2 linked regions of the Solanum lycopersicum genome follow. The protein of the gene in region 1 binds, or shares a complex with, the protein of each later gene. Links are inferred from orthologs where the notes say so. Each region holds a gene or a part of one and is shown in the gene's direction. Other genes may lie near its edges.

Region 1 (11,379 bases):
TGCGAATTTGACAACCAAAAACTTGAAAAGAGGAGGATTACTTATGTTAGTTAATGCTTCATGTGTGAACCCTTGTGTAGGACATGGGATATCTCTTACTACAATGCTAGTTAGCATCTAAGTTTCTCATACTCTTCACTTTCGGTGCCGCACCCGTGTCGACACAATGTGGGTGTGGGTGTGGGTGTGTCTGGTCATCTAGTTTTGGGTACTTTGACCAAATTCAAGGGAGAAATTCAGGACAGATTCAATGGTTTATATAATCAAAACAAAAGCTAAGGTGAAATTGAAGAAAATGAAATACCTTTGTATATATAGATTTCTATTGTCACTCCCTTACCTTTTATTTCCCTTCAGGATCTCCTCTTGATCAATATTTCGTCTCAAGTTCTCCACAAATTATTTCATAATTTAGGTTTTATAACTCTATTAGTTGATATTTGAATTTTTTTTAGCTAAATCTCCGCACCTGTATCCATGTATGGATTTGTATCCCCGATTCTTAATATTTTGATCATAGAGGATCTGACCTCTAGATCCACACCTGTATCAGACACCTGCACCCAATTCTGAGCAACTTAGGTTAGCATCACATTTTTGAGAGCTTTTTCTATTGTTCGGGATACAATGATTTGGGTGCTGTGAAGGATGCATTATTTAGTTGGGCCATTAGAGAAGTGAAAAGAAGATGCCAAACGTGGGATGTATCTCCAATAGTACTAGTGTGGATAGCATTACGGGAAAGACGGAGATTTGAAAGGAAAGGCACAACTTTGTATATCTGAGGGGTAACTTCCTGCTTTTGATTTACTCTTGGTGCACCTATGAGGGTTCCAATTTGTGTAGTATCATTGGTGTCTTTCGTAGCGAGTCGTATCTTCTGTTGATTCTCTACTTCTGGGAATACTTCTATGCAGAAGTGTTCTCATTGTCAATATTATTATACCTGATCAAGTAAACATAAATTATTGGATGGTTCTTGTTCATTAAATTCATTCACATCATGTTTACATGGGTAGCTTCTACAAATTCGGTATGTTTTATATCAAGCTAGACTGCCAAATTAGAGAAAGCCTGTGTTGTCGGAGTGGAAAAGATTATACATATTGAAGGGTAAAACCACTTTATCCTGGATGTAATCACTTTTCTTGTCCCAAATTTCTGATAGATTATATCATTTAGTGATCCATTGTTATATTCTTGCTAATAATTATGCTGCTGCTTACCCTTCCTTCAATGTGTTCTATGCAGTGCTGGGAAAATCAGGGAGGGGTTCTTTTGCTAGCACTACAACTTCAGGTGGCAAACAGACTTCTTCAGTTGGTGTAAATCCACAATTTTCAGCTCCATCACCACCATCTCAAGTGTAATAATTTGTATTATCCCCGATTTAATTTGAATCTTCTTGTATATAATCTAACCTATCAGTTTCTTGCTTTACATGTTTCTGTTATTGTGTTTCTATCTGCATTAGCACCTCTTGATTTGCTTACTTATTTCTTGTTATTTGTCGTCTACAGGGGGTCTCCTCTTTTTTGGATTGGAGTTGGTGTTGGTTTTTCAGCACTTTTCGCATGGGTGAGAAGGAGAATTTTTTTAATTTTATTGGTTACACTCTTGTTTCATTTTTTTTACTGACTCGTTACTTTTCACTGTTTTTTCTGAAATATATTGCAGGTGGCTTCATACCTAAAGGCAAGTACTTCTTAAGTGAGGTGTAATTATATTTTGCAGGAATCTGATGCTTATCTCACTCTGTTTCTTATAGGGCTACTATCAGAGTGGCAGCTAAGAGAATTTGGACTTTTGAGAAAATATGAATTTTAACTTATCGATAATATGACATGCACATGATGAAACATACCTCGTATGTTATGAGCAGTACTGTTAAGAGGATTGACCACATATTAAGAAAAAGGACCAACAAAGCAGATACAGAAGATAAGAATGACCATTCATCAGTTGATGGTATCTGTAATTACAAAATTAATAATGATGAGCACATCAACCTAGAATACTTCTGAAATTAACTAGGGCATCACTGTGGAATATGCTTTCGATGTTTACTAATTAAATCATGCTACGCCATCACAATCTGGTATTGAGAGGCCAGCCATTTTCTTATTTTTTTAAAAAAAACTATTTTGCTATACTTGTCTGTTCTTTTAGAGTCCGTAACTCTTGCTGTTACATTTAGTTGATTTCTTTCTTCTTGTTTTCTGTGAGTTTAAAGATAAATTCAATGGCTATCCTCCTTTTAAACACCTAAATATTTCTGCTAATGAGTCTCTGTGCATTATAGATACAATAGTTGCACAGGAAAACATAAAATAAGATTGCTTGTTTAAGGTGCCTTCTTTTTTACTCTCTATGGCGGAAAATCGTGTTTTAAACTTCTTTCATATTCTTCATGTTTCAAATGTTTTGGTTTTTAATTGTACGTGGGTATATTTCTTTGTTTCCTATGTGGAGGCCAATGAGTGCAGCTACAAAAATTCGATAAAGCCCGACCCTTCATGTGTGTTAACTATTTCTGCATGTTGTTTTCCATGCTTCCAGAAGTACGCTATGCAGCAAGCGCTCAAAACAATGATGGGACAAATGAATGGCCAGAATAGTCAGTTTAGCAACACTGCCTTTTCACCTGGACCTGGGTCACCTTTTCCTTTTCCATTCCCACCACCTCCAGTGTCCGGTCCAGCTAGTTCATCACCTCCACCACCTACTGCATCTAGCTCATCTACACCATCAGCTTCATTTGCATCTCAGCCAGTGACTGTTGATGTATCCGCAACTAAAGTGGAGGAACCTCCCACTGTCAATGTCAAAAATGATAAAGAGGCTGAAAAGGAGCCAAAGAAAAATGGTACCTAATATTTGCATTCTAAATATCATTTATATCTGGTTCTAGTACTTGTTTGTCTTTTCCTTTCATATAGAAAAACAGCAAATCTTGCAAGAAGGCATGTTCATCTAAAGCCTCTTGACATTTACCTTTGAATAGACCTTGTTAATGTCATGCTTTGATCACCCTTAACGTTGGTTTATCTCAATAAACTGAAGGATACTAGAGTATATCAGTGAGATAATTAAACTATTTTAAATGAGTGAGCTCACCACTAAATTTTAAGATTAAGCAATTTAGCTGTTGATCTTAAAAACACCAAAACATCAACCATCTACATAACATTCTTGAAGGAATTTGGAGTGTCATGATGTGATCCTTTGTGATCTTCTGAGCTTTTATATGGAAATTCATCTTTTCTGTTCTTTCTTATTTTCAAAGTATTTCTCACCCAAAACCACTTGCCATCTCTTTCATGCATAAAGTCACTATCACACAATATTGCTATGCTGGCACTCTGCAAGGGTATCCCCTAAGTTTGAATTAAGAAAAGTGTAATCCCCCCAAGTCATAGCCATTTTAATCCTAAGTATCCCTAGAAATCTAACCTCCTCATGTATCATTAGAACCCCTTGCTGATAACGGGGAGGGGAAGGCTGGTTTGGGAGAAAAGCTTACATTGAAGTGCAGGGAAACCCAATTTAAATAAAAGGAATGAGCAGGAGGAAGGTACCACTTCAATTTCTGTGAGGTTAATTCGTTTCAAGTATTTAACAAATTTTTATTTGTGTCTCGATCATCAAAAGTTTTTTTCTTTTCTTTTGCTAATCAAATAGATTACTGGCCTGACTTCCACAACAGTTCTTGACCAAAGCTAAGTTTAGACTCCACTAATATCCCAGAATAACGATCTCCTCAAAAAAGAATAGTAGGATGCTTTGCGGAAACAAAACTGATTTGTAACTTGTATCCTCCTTTGACATCTTTCTTAAATGCCAAGAACCATCGTGGACCAGTAGAAATTAATACCTGGGTTTAGTTGTAGTGGGACCTGAGCAGTTTTGTTCTAAATCATATTTACAAAAATGCTAATGCTTCCCTAGTTAGAACCACCTTTTTGCGATAGTGATACACTTTGTATTACTCTTATGAAATGTTCAGATTTTCTGGTTATGAACTCATGATATTAACTATGTGAATTAAACTTTTTGCAGCTTTTGTTGACATTTCTCCTGATGAAACATTCCAGAAGGGTGCCTTTGAAAATTTTAAGGACTCAGCTGAGACAGCTTCGGTAACTGTTGATCAGGTCGGTTGGTAGCTATTATCTGGGAATATGGTGTCGTTAGGGGTGTCAAATGGGCGCGTTGGGTTGAAATTGGAGATATTAAATGGGTTGAAATAGATATTGGGTTTGGGTCCTGACCCGCCCAAGTTTACTTTGGGTTCCAATGGGCTTAAAAACAGGTTGAGTCTTGACCCACCCAATTTTTCCCGCTTAATTCAACAATTTTAATGTATTGTTATTTAAGTTATATAACTACAATTTGAATTTCAACTAAAGAAAATTTTAAAAAAGAAGTGACAAATGGATAGATAAATCCGATAAGATATAAAATAGATAGTAATCCATACCTTTAATATAGGAACATACATTACAACAATGCAAATAAAGAGTCTTAAAACGGGTTGAAATTGGAGATTAAATTGGCCTCAATTGAGGATTCTCTTAAATGGGTTAGGACTTGAATGGGTTGGGATTGAATTCAATTGAAATTATCTTGTGCCCAACCCTCAAAATTATGGGCGGGTTACCTACAATTGTGCTCAATTTTGACACCTGTAGGTGTCGTCTAACAATTGCACTTCAATAATATTTTTTGAATCTCTATTAGGTAACTCAAAATGGAGCTGCTTCACAGTCGGGATTTGGTTCAAATACATCTGACAGTACCTCATCAACGGGTAAATCACTTGCTGGTTGGCCCTCATAGCTGTTGTACTACGAATGTCATTCAAGCATCAGGATTGGATGCATGTTCCTATCTTCTTACTCATGTTTTTATTGGTCATTTTCCTCTTTTCCTTCTTTTTCAATCATTATTTCTATGAGTTTATGAATCTTGCAATAGATAATAAAGATGGATTCATGGACATACTTCATAGCTACGTAGATCCTCCCTTTTAGCCTATTGGGTGGTTTGGAGGATGTGGTAAGCTGTGAATCATGCCCAAGGTGGTTAAACTATGAAGTGCATAATGCCCAACAAAATGAAATGAGGTTGTATGTTCCATAATCTGGTGGGGAAAATACATTCTGGGGTCTTTTTCTATTTAGGAAAAAATGGGGAGAAAGCCCAGTTTCTTGTCCAATTGCAGTATGTTTGTAGCATAATATAGATACGTAATGGTATTTTGGTGAATCTCCAGGGTGTAAGACTCCAAGAAATGGCATAATGTTAGTACTTTTTGTGTTTTCAATGCTATCCTTTTGAGTCCAACAAAAGGCTAAAGGCCGCATTATCATTGTAATGCACACATATGTATGTACAAATAAAATTTGGAAGTGGGTAAAAACTTGAAGTCAATAATCCATGTTGTAGGAGATATTGCATGAGATACAGACAAATGAGGTTCAGAAAAGAAAGATGAACATCCAGACAGAAGCTGTGACTTTGTAATGACCCGAATATTGTGTCCCGACTCCTGTGGGAACTTGAATAGAACTTCCTACATCCTAAAAAATGCTAAGTGCTCTAGCAGACATGTTTTACGAAAGAATGGCCTATTTCTTACAGATTTCATGGAACTCTCTGTCCATAAACTTGTTTTGAGGTTGGAGGTTTTGAGTGATAAATAGTCCAGCTTTATTGGTCATATCTGTTTATTAGTAAAATGTTGTGTGTAACTTTACTTGGGCCTAATTCTCCTTCATGCTTTCTTCTTATGAAAAAACAAATTGCTTCATGCTCTCTTCTCTCAGCTACAAGTAATTTTGCATGATCTGCTTTCTTGAACAGGAAAATCTAATCCTCTATTGTCGGTGGATGCTCTGGAGAAAATGATGGAAGATCCAACAGTGCAGAAGATGGTTTACCCGTAAGATAGCATCTACCTTTTCTGTTATATTCTATGAGTTGTGTTGGATTATCTTGAATATTTGCTGATATCTTTGATCACTTAGCATTCCGATTTATGATAATGGAACTCTAGTTTCAGTTACACCATGTTACTATGTACTGTGTTATAAATAAAATTGTATTGCACTTCTAATGGAATCAAAATTCTTTTGTTGAGATTTAGTTTTGAACCTCTCTAAAGCATTGCAGGGAAAATGTCATTCCATCAGTACTGTGTTTAATTGAATAGGTTTTTATAGTATGCTGTAGACTACTGTGGTAAAGATGGAAGGAAGTGAACTAATATGAGATTTGGGATGCTTAATTGATGTTTTAAAGAAGATTTTGGATGGACTCAAGAGAGCAGGACTTGGAGCATTATACCTTATTTCAGACAGATGGTAGGTAGTTAGTTGAAAATAATAAAGATGTGGAATGTACTTTTGAGAATGACTGGAAAAGTGTAATTAAGGTAACTTCGAGTTAATTGGCTAATGTATAGTCCTTATTAGAAATTTGCTTGTGCATATTAAAGTCTACTATATATTATACGGGTTTGCTACAGCGTATTCTAGTTTTTTTTTTTTTTTAAAGCTTATGGAGAAGGAAACGTTCTAATTGTTTGTTTCCTGCAAAGTATTAATCTAAAGTGACATTTCTCTTCTATGTTAAATCTATTTTGCTTTTCTTGTGAACACAACCAGACCTCTCATCTTATTCTCATGTGACATATAGTTTTTGTGTATAAACTAGTTGTGCTTTATTTTGATGAGAACTCAACCTTCTATTCTGTGTTTGTGCAGCTATCTACCCGAGGAGATGAGGAACCCTACAACATTTAAATGTGAGCTGTCATCTGAAGCACTTTCCTAGGAAATCTGAATTTTCCAGTACTCCTTTTCATAAAAAAAAATAATAATAATAAAAAAAAAATTAAAAAAAAAAAAAAACTACTGATGGATTCCTAGAAGGATGTAAATGCTGACAAGTACATCTAGTATATATTGTCTATGCTTTGCAACTTTTCTTACTAGTGTTTTTTTGCATTAGATGTGCTTAGCCAACTCATGATTCAGGTTTTAGAGTAAAATTCATTTCCTCTTTTATCATTGACTGTTTGTCTGAATTGCTATGTTGTAGGACAAATCAAGAACAAGAGTTAAATGCCATTAATTATTTATTCCTGTCCTCTTCTTATCAAAAATACTTGTCATTCTGGTTTCTTGTGACTCAACTTTACTACCTTTATGGTTCATTGCTATAAGTTTTTCAAACTCTTTTCATCTTCTTCCTCTATCAGATAAAACTAAAAGGTCTTGCATTTAATTTGATCACAGGGATGCTACAAAATCCACAATACCGTCAACAGTTGCAGGACATGATGTAAGTCTGGTTCAATTATCTTTCAAGTGCATATTTCTTTATTAAGATTACCATTCTCAAGTGCATATTTCTTTGTTCCATGCCAAAATGCATTACTTGTATATCATTTACTTTTCTAAATTTTCTGTTTGATTATCATATTTATATCAGTAGCATATCCATCCACTGAGTTTTACCATAAGCACTGTCTCAAAGGCTGTTTGGATAGGAACTTATGCCATTCATATAACTTGTTTAAGTGTTAGGAAAACTACTCTTGGTGTGACTCTGCTGTATCTGAACTGCTTCATTTTCCCCCTTCCACATACTACTTTTTGTTTACTGGAGTAACCAGTTCCTTTTGAATTTGTGCAAATGAGACCTGACTTTTTCTTCTGCCTGCATGGGGTTAAAATTCTCATCTTGAATGAGAATATTCCATTCCGATGTATGTATGACACTGGTATACACTGGACCCTAATTGGTAGTTTTCATCTTGTTGATTCTTGTCCATCTGATTGCATTTCTAGTTTAGATTAGAACAATGCAAAGCTGTAAATGATTCTTGTACACACATATCAAATGATACCAGTTATCTGTCTGGAATCAAATATTCGTTGGACTACCTACTTTGGTCAGGCTGCTCACAATTCTGCATTTTTGGTGTTGTTCGTTTCTCAGTTTGAAAAGAAAGAAATGAAAAAGAATAGAAAAGAAGAGAACATGGAAAGAAACAGACATGTTGAATCATTTGCCTTTTTTGGCTAACGAGGATTTCGTGTTAAATACTTCTCTTTTGCACCTATGAAAAACTTATCAGGGTTTCCATCATTTGCCCCATTCCAGGAATAACATGGGTGGAAACCCAGAATGGGACAACCGCATGATGGATTCCTTGAAGAATTTTGATCTCAGCAGCCCTGAAATCAAGCAACAATTTGGTAAGTTAGAGTGGTTATATTGTTCTTTTCCTGATCTATTTGCAAAAATAGTAGTGTCTGCAGCCCACTAATCTGGAGGGGGAGGGTGGGGGATAAGAGAGTCTTAGACAATAGCTGAATTCCACTGAGCATCAACATATATTTTTAATTTTCTCCATTTGATCAACAAAGTCATTACTAATACATATAGTTGAACATATGGTAATAGGTGATGGATGACTTCAACAAATACCAGAATTAGGGGTGGCGAATGTACTATTTGGGTTAATTTTGGCGGGTCAATGAATGGGTCATTGCCCAACCATGCCCAATGTTTACCTGGGCTAAGATGCGCCAAACAATGTATCATAGAACAACCAGCCCAACATGAGCACACATGTGTAGGGAAATACTAGTAAATGTTATATCAGGAGGGAGAAATCTTTTTGTAGTTATAACATGTCAGGAAGACCTCCTTTAATGGTACAAACAGTTGCTATAGCCAAAACTATCAAATGATATGATCTGTATTTTTCTTTGTTTGTTATTTTTATGGTTGCAGATCAGATAGGACTTACTCCCGAGGAAGTCATTTCGAAGATTATGGCTAATCCTGATGTTGCCATGGCTTTCCAAAATCCAAGAGTTCAAGCAGCCATCATGGATGTATGCACTTGTTGCCCCCTTTCACGCCACCCCATCCCACTTCCCACCCCCATTATATCCTCTTGAATTTGTTGAAGTTCCAAAAAGCATATATTTGAATAATCATAGAAGAGATATGACACACATTTATTATTGCTTGAAATGTTGATGCACGCTGACTTTTATTTTTATTGCAGTGTTCTCAGAATCCACTGAGTATTGCAAAATACCAAAATGACAAGGAGGTAAGAACGTAATTTCATCTTTAACATGTCTTCTTGATATATCGATCTAAATTTGAGTAAGAAGTCTGTACTTGTTATTGACTAAGTTGCATTTTGCTTCAGTAATTAATACTAGAGATCAGTAAGATGCATCAGTTAGACAGTTTTGAGTGATAACTTTTGGTTCTTACTTCATCTTATGTTTGCCCAGTATAGCACAAATTCAATGTTTACATACTCGTTACTATGATTATTATGTTGACTAAATAGACGGAGGTTCAACTGCATATTATGTTGCATGTACGTGTATATATTTGATAAATACCTAATACATATAGTTGAACATATGATTATAGGTGATGGACGTCTTCAATAAAATATCAGAACTATTCCCTGGGGTGTCAGGTGCGCCTTGATTATCTCCGTCCTGCCTAAGCAGCTATTATGTGACAACGCTGTCATTTTTGTTCTGTTTGAGTGAAGTATCAGTCAGAATTGTTGGGCTCTGAGATGTAGTTTTCGCCCTCTGTTGCAACTCGGATGCACATGAAAACGTCGCTTCCTTTATATAAATTCATTGCCCTTCTCAAATTTTGTGGATGTGAACATACTTGCCTTGGCTTACCAGTAGTCTTTAGAAGCCAATTTCAGTTGTATATTTGCCAGTTTCTTTATGGTTTTAGAGTTACTTAAGCTTATTCAACTGTATGATTTGATGAAACGGAGGAATAAAAATTTTATTTAATAATTACTTCAATTATGAAGTTATCGCTTCTAGTTACTCAGTTGAATTTTCTGGATTTTTTAATTTTAAATTCAAGTTGATTTTATATTTAAAAGAAATGGATATTTTCTTGCTTGAGGAAGTGTAAGGATGTGCAGAAGATAATAAAGGTGGATGAGAGTGAGGTGGTGCGGGGGTGGATAAGAACTAGGAAAATAAGAAGGGAGTTAGAGTGTGTTTGGTAGGAAAGGAAAATGTTTTCCCGCAAAATAAGTAGATTTTTTACTTATTTTCTCATGTTTGGTTGGTCATTAAAAATTATATTTTGAAAAAGATTTTCAGTGTATTATGAATGAAAAATATTTTTTATTTTACTAGTGCGGAAAATAATTTTTTAAAATAAATTTTATTTCTTTTGGGGGGGAGGGGGTGTGAGATAGGGTAAAATAATAAAAAATTGAAATTGAAAATATTTTTTAAAAACAAAGTTTTTTTTGGGAGGGAGTGGGGGGGGGGGGGGGGGGTTGCCGGTAGGAGTGGGTGGGGTGAAAAAAATTGAAAATATGTTTAAAAATAAATTAAAAATTATTTTTTTTTGGTGGGGGGAGGGGGATGCTGGTGCTGGTTTGTGTGTGTGGGGGGTGGGGGGGTTAGTGGTGAGGGTGGGGTGAAAAAAATTGAAGCTGATTTTTTTTTAAAAAAAAAAACAAACTCAAAATTCTTTTTTTTTGGGAGGGGGTGGGGGCTGATGAGTAGGAACGAGGGGTTGGGTTGGGGTGAAAAAGTAAAATTAGAAATTAGAAATATTTTCTAAACCAAATTACAATTTTTTTTGGGGGGGGGGGGGGGAGCAGGGGTGAGGTTGAGGGTGGGATGAAAAAAAAATTGAACTCCAATATACTTTTTTTAAATAATTTTTAAATTTGTTCAACAATCAATTTTTTTTTTAAAAAAAAAAAATGTAATTTGAAGTTGGAGAAGAGTTTTGTACAATGTTTTTCTGAATTTTTGAAGGAAAATCATTTTCCTTAAAATCGAGGAAAATGAGTTGATTTAAAAAATATTTTTCAAAACTTTTAAACCAATCAAGTATATGGAAATTAAAAAATATTTTCATATTTTTCTTCATACCAAATACATCCTTAAGATATGTTTATTTTACTATACTTTTATGTGTCATTATAAAATGATATGAAATCTCACATGTAGCCAATCAATAAAATCCATAAATGATTAAATGAGAAAATAATTTAAATTATAGTGTTTTGGGATATCATAGATTTGTCCAACATATTTGATTGAGTTGGCATAGCTTTATTAATTTCTTCTTCATCGATTTGACTATATAAGTTATACTATCATCGATATATATAAAAAATTCATTATAGATTCTTGATTTGTTTCTACATTTTAATTTTCTTTTCTCCTTAGATTGATACAATCGACTGTGTCTATGAATCAAAAAAAGATTTGTATTTGTGTATCAAAATATTTTATCCTATTATCAAAATTTACCTTCTTCAATTCATACATAGATATA
Region 2 (10,215 bases), on another chromosome or scaffold:
ATTCAATTATATGCAGATATATAAATGCAATAATTGATATATATATATATATATATATATATATATATATACACACACACACACACACACACACACAATTATCTAACCGATATACATTCACAATTCACCTCTCTCCACTCTTTGCCCTCTCTCTCTCTTGCCTGTCTCCTCCCTTTTCTAATCTCACTTGTATTTCTAAAAAAATAAAATTAATTTTTATGGGGGTTGTGAGTGGGTGGAGGACTGGTAGGGGTCTAGCAGGGGGGGGGGGTGTTAAGAGTTTAAAAATAAAAATTTGAATTTGAAAATATTTTTTTAAAAAGCAAAATTAATTTTTTGGGGAGGGGAGGGGGGGTCAGGAACCGTTGAAAAAATAAAATTTTGAACTTGAAATATTTTTTTAAAATTGATATTTTTCCCAAGAAAAAAAGTAATTTGAAATTGGAGGAGAGATTTGGAAAATATTTTTCTTAACTTTTGAAGGGAGGTCATTTTCCTTAATTTTGAGAAAAATGAGTTGATTTGTAAAACATTTTCCAAAACTTTTGTTTCAACCAAACATAGGGAAATTGAAAAACATTTCCTAGAAAATGTTTTCCTTCATACCAAACACACTCTAGGTATGTACTTACAAAAAAACGGATACAAGTTAAATGATGATTTTATATATTTTCTTGACAAATTTGTAGATAGGCAAAATACATAGGCAGGTCCCTAAAGTTGTTTGCACTTTTTCTCCAGATACCTCAACTAACCCAGATTCCTATTGAATCCTTTAACTCCCTATAATTTGATCCTATTAAATATTCTTGGCTGATGTGGAGCCAAATTTTAATAAATTATTTTTGATAATTGGGCGCGTGAGATAAACCTTTCCCACGTGAAAATTTTGACCAATACACTCCAACCCAATTACACGTCAGTGGCATATATTAAATCATCAAACCTAAAAATCAATTTCTCCTCAAAACACTTCTAACCCGTTTCTAAACAAGAAAACCCTAAGAATCTCTCCCTTTCAATGACTTTTACAGCTGAAATTCTTAGATTTTAAAGTGATTTCGAGTGTTTTGTTGAAGGAATCATCGAAGATTGTAGACGATTTTGGAGTTCATTCGCGATTTCCGAGTTGATGAGTGTGAGGTAAGTTCATTCCTTAATTTCTATGTAATTTTTATTGTTGTAGTGGTTGTGTGTTTTTAATATATGTGTTTAGCTTGTGTTTTTTTATTGATATATGCTGAGTTTTAGTATCAATGTGGTTGTTGTTAATATCTGGATAAAGTTAGTTTTTTTTTTAATTTTTATTATTAATAATGTGTTAGAAAAATTTTGGGGCTTTGTTTGAGAGAATCTTATGAACACCATTATTATAACTCGTTTTCATCATGGTGGTAAGTTTATTCAAGACAAAATTGAAATTACTTATAAAGGGAAAACTGAGGTGGAATATATTTATATCGACAAGGACCACTTCTCAATAATCGAGTTATTTTTTACACTAAACAATTGGGGTATATTATTGTTGGTGGATTCTGTGTTAAAGACCTCACAAAAAATGGTTTTATTGAGGTGGACACTGATTTCACTTTAGTAAATCTCATCAAAGACCTAAAAGATGGTGACTTTTTAGACCTTTATGTGAAACATATGGTAGATGATGTAGAAGTGGTCACAACGGGTTTGCTTTGTGGGTCTGTCGTTGAAGAAGATTTAGAAGATATAAATGTGACTGCAAGTGAAGGGTTGAATAATGAGGCTAAATATGAAAATGTTAATGTGGAAGTTGAGCCAGGGGATATATTAGATCTAGATGTGGAATGGACTGAATGAAATGAAGAAAGTAGTGATGACTCTCAAGAGGATGCTTTTCCTGATGTGGATGACTCTGAGGTTGATGAAGAAGTAAGATCTCTTAGAAATGAAAGGAGAAACAAAGTGAAAAAATAAAAACCTATTCAAACTGAGGAAATAAAGCTTGGAACAACTGGTATTAATAGAGGCTTTGAAGACATGGGAAGGAATAAGGCTGCTAGATACACTGGAAGATTAGGGGTGAAGCAATATATAGATAGCTCAGAATTGAACAGTAAAGACAATAGGAATGAATTGGATCCAGAATTTGTTAAGAGTGTTGATTTACCAAGTAGAAGAAAAAGTAAAAAGGTAAGATTTGATCCTGATTGTGTTGTAGCAATTTTTGAGCTTGGTATGGTATTTGAAAGTGTATACATAATTTTGTTCATTTCTTACTCTACTATATAAAGTCTCATTTTAAGATATTTCTATGCAGCTGGTACTTCAGGAGAAAAAATTATCAATTTGAGAGTTTATAAGGATGCAGCTCCAACAAATATTGATATTGGTTATAAGCCTCGAGGACTCAAGTGGAATGGTGGAGATGCTGTCACTGGTTCACAGTTGAAACAAATCACTTATTCAAGAAAAAACAAGCGTGGAACATCTAGTGCACCAAAGAATGCCTAATTTATGTAGAAAAATCACTTTTTGGTTGTGTAATTAGCAGCAGAAATTTGTATTGACTGCTTGAAACTTGAAGCTCACTAGAGCAAATTAATGGCATGAATGATCAATTTTTACTGCTTTTGAGGCATAAATTATCTACACTCCTTCAATTAAATCATTACAATAAAAACACAAGGCATTTACAATAGAAAAATCGATCAAAATTGTCCACAAAGAACTCTACAATCTACCATACATACTTTTATGAAGGAATCTAATTGAAGACAAATGAACCAACTAAGATCATTTTGTTACACAAATCCAAGTAGCCAATATCATCCCTACGATAATGCATATCATCCATATTTTTCTTGATCGATTCCTCTCCAATTCATATGTTTTGACTATTTTCGACAAACCCCATATCACCCTCCTAGCTTGAGCAGGCATTTCATCATCATACCATCGAAAATATCCACATCCACCTCGTGCCTACAAAATTAAAGAAAAAAATTGAATTATAAATAAGGTGATTCTTTACTATATTGGACAAAAAAAAGTGAATTTGATTTACCTTTGAAGTTTTGCAACAAAGGAATATACGTCCAGGATTGGATTGCGTCCATGAGATCTTCATTTTCACAACGTTCCCATATTGACATAGTACTTTCGCAGTTAAAGAAGAAGAAATCGATGAAGTAGATAAATTTGACATTGAAACTTGATGATTAAAAAGAAATCAATGAAAAAGAGATATAATATAATGAGCTAAAGAGGAGAAATAATGATGAAGAGAAACAAAAGAGGAGAAATAAGGGAAGAATGGGAGAAATTAGGATTAAAAGGGGGAAGAAAATCGTTGGTGGATGGTTCAAGATCCACATCAGCGCTTTTAAAGCGTCTGCACACGCTTAAAGGACGTGAGATCACGTTTGGCTCCACATTAGCCAAGAATATTTAAAAAGATCAAATTATAGGGGGTTAAAAGATTCAATAGGAATCTAGATTAGTTGAGGTAACTGGGAAAAACACGAACAACTTTAAAGACTTGCGTATGTATTTGACCCGTAGACATTTTTCCTCCAAAATGGATATGGAATTATGGATATTCAAATGGTATCAATGTAGCCCGACCCGCAATTCCATCAGGATTTTCAATTGACTGCTGACCTAATCCAATTTCCCCTTTTTCATTCTTTCTCCCCCCCAAAACAAATATCTTTGGCCATCCTCAACAATGGCCATCACCAATCTTTTATCCACCACCATTACACTCAAACACTCGCCATTTCTTCTACTGAAACCCTCAACAAAACTCAGAAACCCTAAAAGGCCAACAATTCGAGCTCAATCTAAGAACGACGACTCAGTAGATGGTCCAGATCGTTTAATCTCCGCCATAACTTACTTCTACCCTTTCTTTGATGGTGTTCAGTACGGTAAATATGTAATCACACAGTTTGCTCCAATACAAACACTTATTCAACCTTTAGTACCAGCTATAAGGGTTTTTAAGAGCTTTCCGCTTAACGGGTTGTTGGTTTTCTTTACACTCTACTTTATTGTTGTAAGAAATCCTAATTTTAGTAGATATGTCAGGTTCAACACTATGCAAGCTATTGTTCTTGATGTGCTTCTCATTTTTCCTGATTTGTTGGAGAGGAGTTTCAATCCAAGTGATGGGTTTGGGTTGGATTTGATGATGAGCTTTGATAGTACTGTGTTTTTGTTTCTTTTGGTATCTTTGGTTTATGGTACTTCGTCTTGCTTGTTGGGTCAGCTACCTAGATTGCCTATTGTTGCTGAAGCTGCTGATAGGCAAGTGCTATGAACTCGTAATTTTACTTGTTTATGAGGTTTCATCCTCTTTGTACACTTAATTATGTTTTGCTTTAGCTGACAATTAATATCTATTTCGTTCCGAAAGTAAATGTTTATGCTCTTTAGAGCCTTGTTCATGCATATCATTTTGCTGTTTCTTAATGTGGATATGTATATTCTTGTAATGGCATTTCGGTTTCTTTAATCAAGTAACTACTTTTTTTCTATGTATCTGCATTAACAAAAATATATAGAGGTATTTCTTTTTTATAACCGTAATGTCCTGGCGTACACCTCAACTATTTCATGGAATATCTTAACTGGAATTGTTCCAAGTGACTCTGCCCACTACAACTTAGGCAAATAGAAGATCTTATTGCCTCTGCATAGATTTGCACTTTCGTGTTGTGTAGTTTCGTTCCAGCTTCATGGACTTTGATGGCTTGCCATTGAGTGCCACAAAGGTGGTGATATTATCTACAAGTTCTGTCATTTTTTGATATGAAGATAGTTCAATCCCTATTTCTAGGTAACATGTTAGTTACATCACCATTCTTTTTTTTGGTTTTTGGATGAGGTAACATGTTACATCATCGGTATGTTGGTGTTTAAGGAAGAAATTCATGATCCTAGTAGCCAGTTGTATCATGATTTTAAGTAAGGGTCTCGTTTTGTATTATCTTGAAAAGGGCAAGTATGCAGAGATACACGGAAGTTAGGTATCAGGTTTTGATGTTATTCTTTGAGACAATTCGGATAATGTCCTCCACCCCAACCTAGAGCTTTCGCTAATTACAGAGACTTTGATGATTTACGTAAAGGTATTGGCATCTAGTATACACCTTCTTTATGTAAAATGCTAGTATGCCTCTCTGCCAGTACCTCTTCCATTTGTTGTATAGTAATTTTAAAAGTAGTTTACCCTTGGACAGAAAAACAATAAGCTAAAACTAGGACGGAAGAAATAATGCTCTTAATAGCTGCAGGTTTTATGAATCTGCATCTTTTTCTTATTTAGGAAACCTGGTCATCATATCAACCTTTAGATGGTAAATGTGTTGGGATGTTAAGATATTTTAGATGTTGATACTCAAACCCAAAAGGCAAATATTTGCTCCTTACTTGTAGGATATCCTTTTGTCCCTTCAATGGACTTGATTTCACCACTTCAATTTTCTGATTGAATAGTTGAGTGGTTGGCTAGTGGACATTCTTTGCCACCATGAATTATGAAATTATGACAAAAATGTCGATTATGTTTTCTGAAATCTATTCTTAGGTATTACATTGACATTAAGTATGTGGTTTTTATGACATTTAAATTGAGATTGTTGCGTACGGACTTTGAGGTCCAAGAAAAAGTCAAGCCTAAGTTGCTTGGACTCTTTTACTTTTGGCACCGCACCGGTGTCGACATGGCGTGGGTGTGAGATATGTACCCGAGCTGGTCAATGATTTCTGTGCACGAAACAAAACTAAGGTAAAATTGAGGAAAATGGAATACCTTGTATATATAAATTTCTATTGTCACTCCCTTTCCTTTTATCTCCTTCCAGGATTCTCCTCTCGATCAAGATTTTCTCCTCAAGTTTTCCACATAATATCTCATAATTTAGGTTTTATAACTTCATTTTTAGTTCTTTGAATTATTTGTAGACGAATCACCGCACCCATATCCATACATGGATTCGTATTCCCGGATCTAAAAATTTTGATCATAGAGGATCCGACCTCTGGTCGGGCACTCGCTCCTGAGTCCGAGCAACATAGAATCAAGCAACAAAGCAGAGTGTAAAGCTCTGCACATGGAACACCTCCATTTTTTCATGTAAAGGTCACTGCAATCTACAGCAACAACAACATACCAGTGTAAGTGAGGTTTTTGAGGAGGATAGAGTGTACACAGACCTAAAATCCCTACCTTGTGTGTGGTTGAAAGGTTGTTTCGGAAAAGCTCATTGCAATCTCATTCTTTAATGCAAGGATGCATAGGACTTGCACTATGTTGCTTTATTGTCAAACTGCTCTGGAAGCCAAAGATAAAAATTTCCCTGACATTATACTTTATAATATGAATACAGATTATGATACACATTTCTAATCTTATGCTAAGTCTGGTGCAGTCAAGTGATATAAACCTGAACTGTGTTCGTTTATTTCCTCTTACATCATTAGATATATCAACTTCCCTAGTGAATACATTAGATTGTTGTGCTAGTATGCTCATACCACATCAGTTCACCATATGGTTTGACTGACTATGAAAAGTTGAATCAAGTTTTCTAATTGAAGTTTCTAGGGATGACAAATGGTGCAGGGCAGGATGATTGCTTACAGATTCCATTATTGAAAATAATAGTAGTAATAAACAAAGATGGAATTAATAACAAAGTTTTTGGTGCAGCTTTGCAAAAAGAAATCGATAGCCATGACACGCAAAACCTAGCACAAGCCACGGCGCTTTGGCTTCCCCTGTCGGTAGAGGCCTCAGTGGAATCACGTGGCATTATATTACTTGGGACATACTTGACAGCTACAACTTTTATTTTCTTTCTCCTCTTATTTGGGCATATATAAGATGCTCATTTCATTCTATTCCTATTTATTTTTCTTCTTTGGAGCCTACATTGATGCGGTGACTAAATTCGAATCACGAGTCTTATTTGGAAATGGCACTCCCTAAATAGATTTTTTTTCATCTGATACATTTGATAAAGGGTGAAACAGTTCTGCTAATGGAACATATGTTTTGTTCATTGGATACCTTTTTTTATTATTCCCCACTTGTTTAAACAAACTCTTGATGAGAAAGTAACTATTTCCTCAGTCCAAATTTATATGACTCATTTTATGTAAAGGAAATTCGTAGTTGATATCTTTTTGGGTGCGCACAGGGTAAAACTTCGCTTCTATTCAATAGCTCGCAAATCACATAGGAGAGGTAACCCGCACTAGACAAGTTTGGTGTGACGAGCTCGATCCATAATGCAAATCCCTTGCTTTCTCTGGCAAGGAGTTTCGAATTTGAGACCTTCAACATGGAAATCCCAAGCTCAAACCACTGGGCTACCCCAAAGGGTCTCATTTTATGTTTTGAGAGTCAAAACATTTTAAGTTTGATCGAAAAAATTTGCGCATGGAATCTTCAATTTTTTTGAAATGAGATTTATATATTTGTAAACTACGTAAAAAGTAATATGAGTCACAATAATTGATAATTCAAAATGTTTAATAGATCTATGAAAAATTTACGATAAAAAATAGAGTTGTTTGACTCTTGAAATTTAAAAGTTGATATATAAAATGAGACGGAGGTAGTATTTCATAATAGTCAAATATTTCATTCATTCCAAACAAGTGACACAAATAAAGAAAAACAATTAGATTAAATTATATATATAAATTTAGTTGGACATTTTCATGTTCAATACTCATTATTGGTACACCTTCCAATTCAGACAAAATCTTCTTATAATTTAATCTGACGGGCATAACTTATTTTAAAGTATATTTGGTCTCATCTACGTACTCTTCCTAATTGAGTGAATAAAATACAAGTGTTATAGCTAGGTTTGTTGATATAAACATATATCACAAATTAAATCAAAATTATAGTTTGAAAAATAAAATGATAAAATATAAAAAGTATTGTAACTGAGGTGTGAATCTAGTTCTCTTTAAAGAAACTTAAATTCATTGTGACATAATCTACACAGATTTAACAATGTAACTCTCGACTTGTCCTCTCCAATATACAATAATCCAACAATGTCGCGTGCGACAAACAATTCCGCATTAATTGAAGAGTACAAGACTTCACCAAAGAAACCCTTTCTTCGATATAAAATTACTCTCTTTATAGTAGTGAATCAGTTAAAGATTTTTTTCTTTCTCCCAACTCTCTCTTCACTACACTGACCTCAATATAAACGAAACATACTACTTGTAATTTTTTTCTTGTTTTTCTATTCCAAACACAAGGAAGAAAACATCTTTTATATAGTAGTAGAATTCTTCCACGAATAAATGTCAAGAAAATAGATAGTCATTTGAAGATGGGAGAAATGAAATTGTTAATTTGTTGATAATGGTGCTATCATTGTACATGTTTTGATAGTCGAAATTTGAAAAAATTGATTGAACTTTAGTCGTATGTAGCTGAAATAAAAAACAAAAATAATTTCACTTTAATTCATGTATCTAAAGTGCAAGTAAACATATATGAACTTCAGTTGTATGTAATTGAAGTTCAATAATGTATGTGACCTACTAATTTCATATAAAATTTGCGATTTCAAACACAAAAAGTTTATCAACTTCAATTCCATATGTCCGTAGTTATATGTGAATAAGAAATTAAATTTTAAACTAAGGCATAAACAACTACCAAAATAAGATATTTATGCATTTCCTCCTAGCTCGAAGGGCGAGTAATGGAGCCACTAATTTAGCCTAAAAGATGACAAGCTCAAAGTTACAATAATAATAATAATAATAATAATTATTATTATTATATATAAATAACAATATAATATAATATTTTGCTTGTCTCAATTTAATATATAGTTTAAGAATTAAAGAAAGATTTTTAAAATTTGTGATTTAAAATTAGTTATTAATGTTTATGCGACTATAAATCATTTCATTGAAGATTTATTTCATTTTCTTAAAATCCGAGTAAAAAAGAATAGTGAAATATACAAATTGAAATAATTAAAAAAGAAAATATTCTTAGGACCCTTTGGGCCATAGATTTTTCAAGTAAAATTTGAGAAAAAAATTTAGCAAATAGTGTTTGTCCATACAATTCACCATTATTTAGTAAATATAATTGGCAAATAATCAAAATTTTCAAATGCTAGAAAAAATTAGTATTTGGGTCAAGTCTCATTATTCAGATATTTTTAATAATTCAAATTATACGCCAAACTTTTATCTTTTACAACAACATCCTCTATAATAGTTATTTGCATTGTTTTACATAATCATCTACGTGAACATCAAATGGAATATCAGTGAATATGAAAGTGATGATATGATTGTTGATATAATGATGAACAATCAGCTTAGAGTAACAAAGTCATCATATCATACAAATCTATAGTTAGTTTTGATAATTTTTTAAAAATTATGAGTATAAATCATATTTCTTACAAAGATTAAATATATTTCTCAAAATATTATAACCAAAACATGATAAAATCTCACCAAAAAAATATATTTATCAAAAGTATTTGAAAAAATCTGACAAAACGCTAATTTAATTTGCTAAAATATACCTATACATATATAAATGGACATTGAGCTCAAAAGATGTGTCATGTGTGCTAAATTAGGAAACAATCACTTTCCAATAATTTTTACCAAATTCATAAACCTGATTTTTACCTGAATAACCAGATTGCCAGTTCAGCTATACCCCACCCCTCAGTGTGGCTGGCTTTATCTGTAATTACACCTTCTATTCTGCTCAATATAATATCTGCTCTTTTCAGATCTCATCGGCAAAATCACACACACAGCCACACTTACTTTTTACTAAACAACAAGCCACAGTTTCCATTTTCCGTCTGCCGGAGAAAAATGAAGCTCCGATCAGCAGCAACAACTCTGATTATTATTCTCTTTGCCGCTATTCTGCCATGTCACAGTCAGATCAGTAAAACCAAGCCGTCGCTATCTGCAAAAGGAGAAGCACCAGCTGCAGCAATCAGTATCATATCTCTAATGTCAGCTCATGGATGTAAAAGTTTTGCAGATACACTATCAGGTTCACCGGCTGAGAAGACATTCGAGGACAATGTAGAAGGAGGTGTAACAATATTTTGTCCAACAGACGATGCAATGAAATCGTTTTCACCTAAATTCAAAAATTTAACAGCGGATGGAAAACAATCAGTTCTCGAATATCATGGAGTTCCGGTTTAT

Evidence for each region. The genes of interacting proteins can lie anywhere in the genome.
Region 2: protein TIC 40, chloroplastic (region 1) and protein TIC 20-v, chloroplastic share a complex: the UniProt entries of both Arabidopsis thaliana proteins name them as parts of the tic complex. The link is inferred for Solanum lycopersicum from reciprocal best matches to the Arabidopsis thaliana genes TIC40 and Tic20-V.

Annotation. Positions count from the first base shown.
Region 1 is NC_090810.1:11,542,019-11,553,397, reverse strand, and holds the end of protein TIC 40, chloroplastic, read left to right. Parts: intron 1-1,251; coding exon 1,252-1,366; intron 1,367-1,520; coding exon 1,521-1,578; intron 1,579-1,677; coding exon 1,678-1,695; intron 1,696-2,559; coding exon 2,560-2,866; intron 2,867-4,059; coding exon 4,060-4,154; intron 4,155-4,740; coding exon 4,741-4,810; intron 4,811-5,865; coding exon 5,866-5,944; intron 5,945-6,767; coding exon 6,768-6,808; intron 6,809-7,301; coding exon 7,302-7,347; intron 7,348-8,172; coding exon 8,173-8,267; intron 8,268-8,808; coding exon 8,809-8,912; intron 8,913-9,088; coding exon 9,089-9,136; intron 9,137-9,471; coding exon 9,472-9,531; 3' UTR 9,532-9,896; downstream 9,897-11,379. UniProt on the Arabidopsis thaliana protein: Involved in protein precursor import into chloroplasts. Part of the motor complex consisting of a co-chaperone (TIC40) and a chaperone (HSP93) associated with the import channel (TIC110).
Region 2 is NC_090811.1:6,210,238-6,220,452, forward strand, and holds protein TIC 20-v, chloroplastic, read left to right. Parts: upstream 1-3,627; 5' UTR 3,628-3,703; coding exon 3,704-4,297; 3' UTR 4,298-4,514; downstream 4,515-10,215. UniProt on the Arabidopsis thaliana protein: May be involved in protein precursor import into chloroplasts. Not redundant with TIC20-I, TIC20-II or TIC20-IV.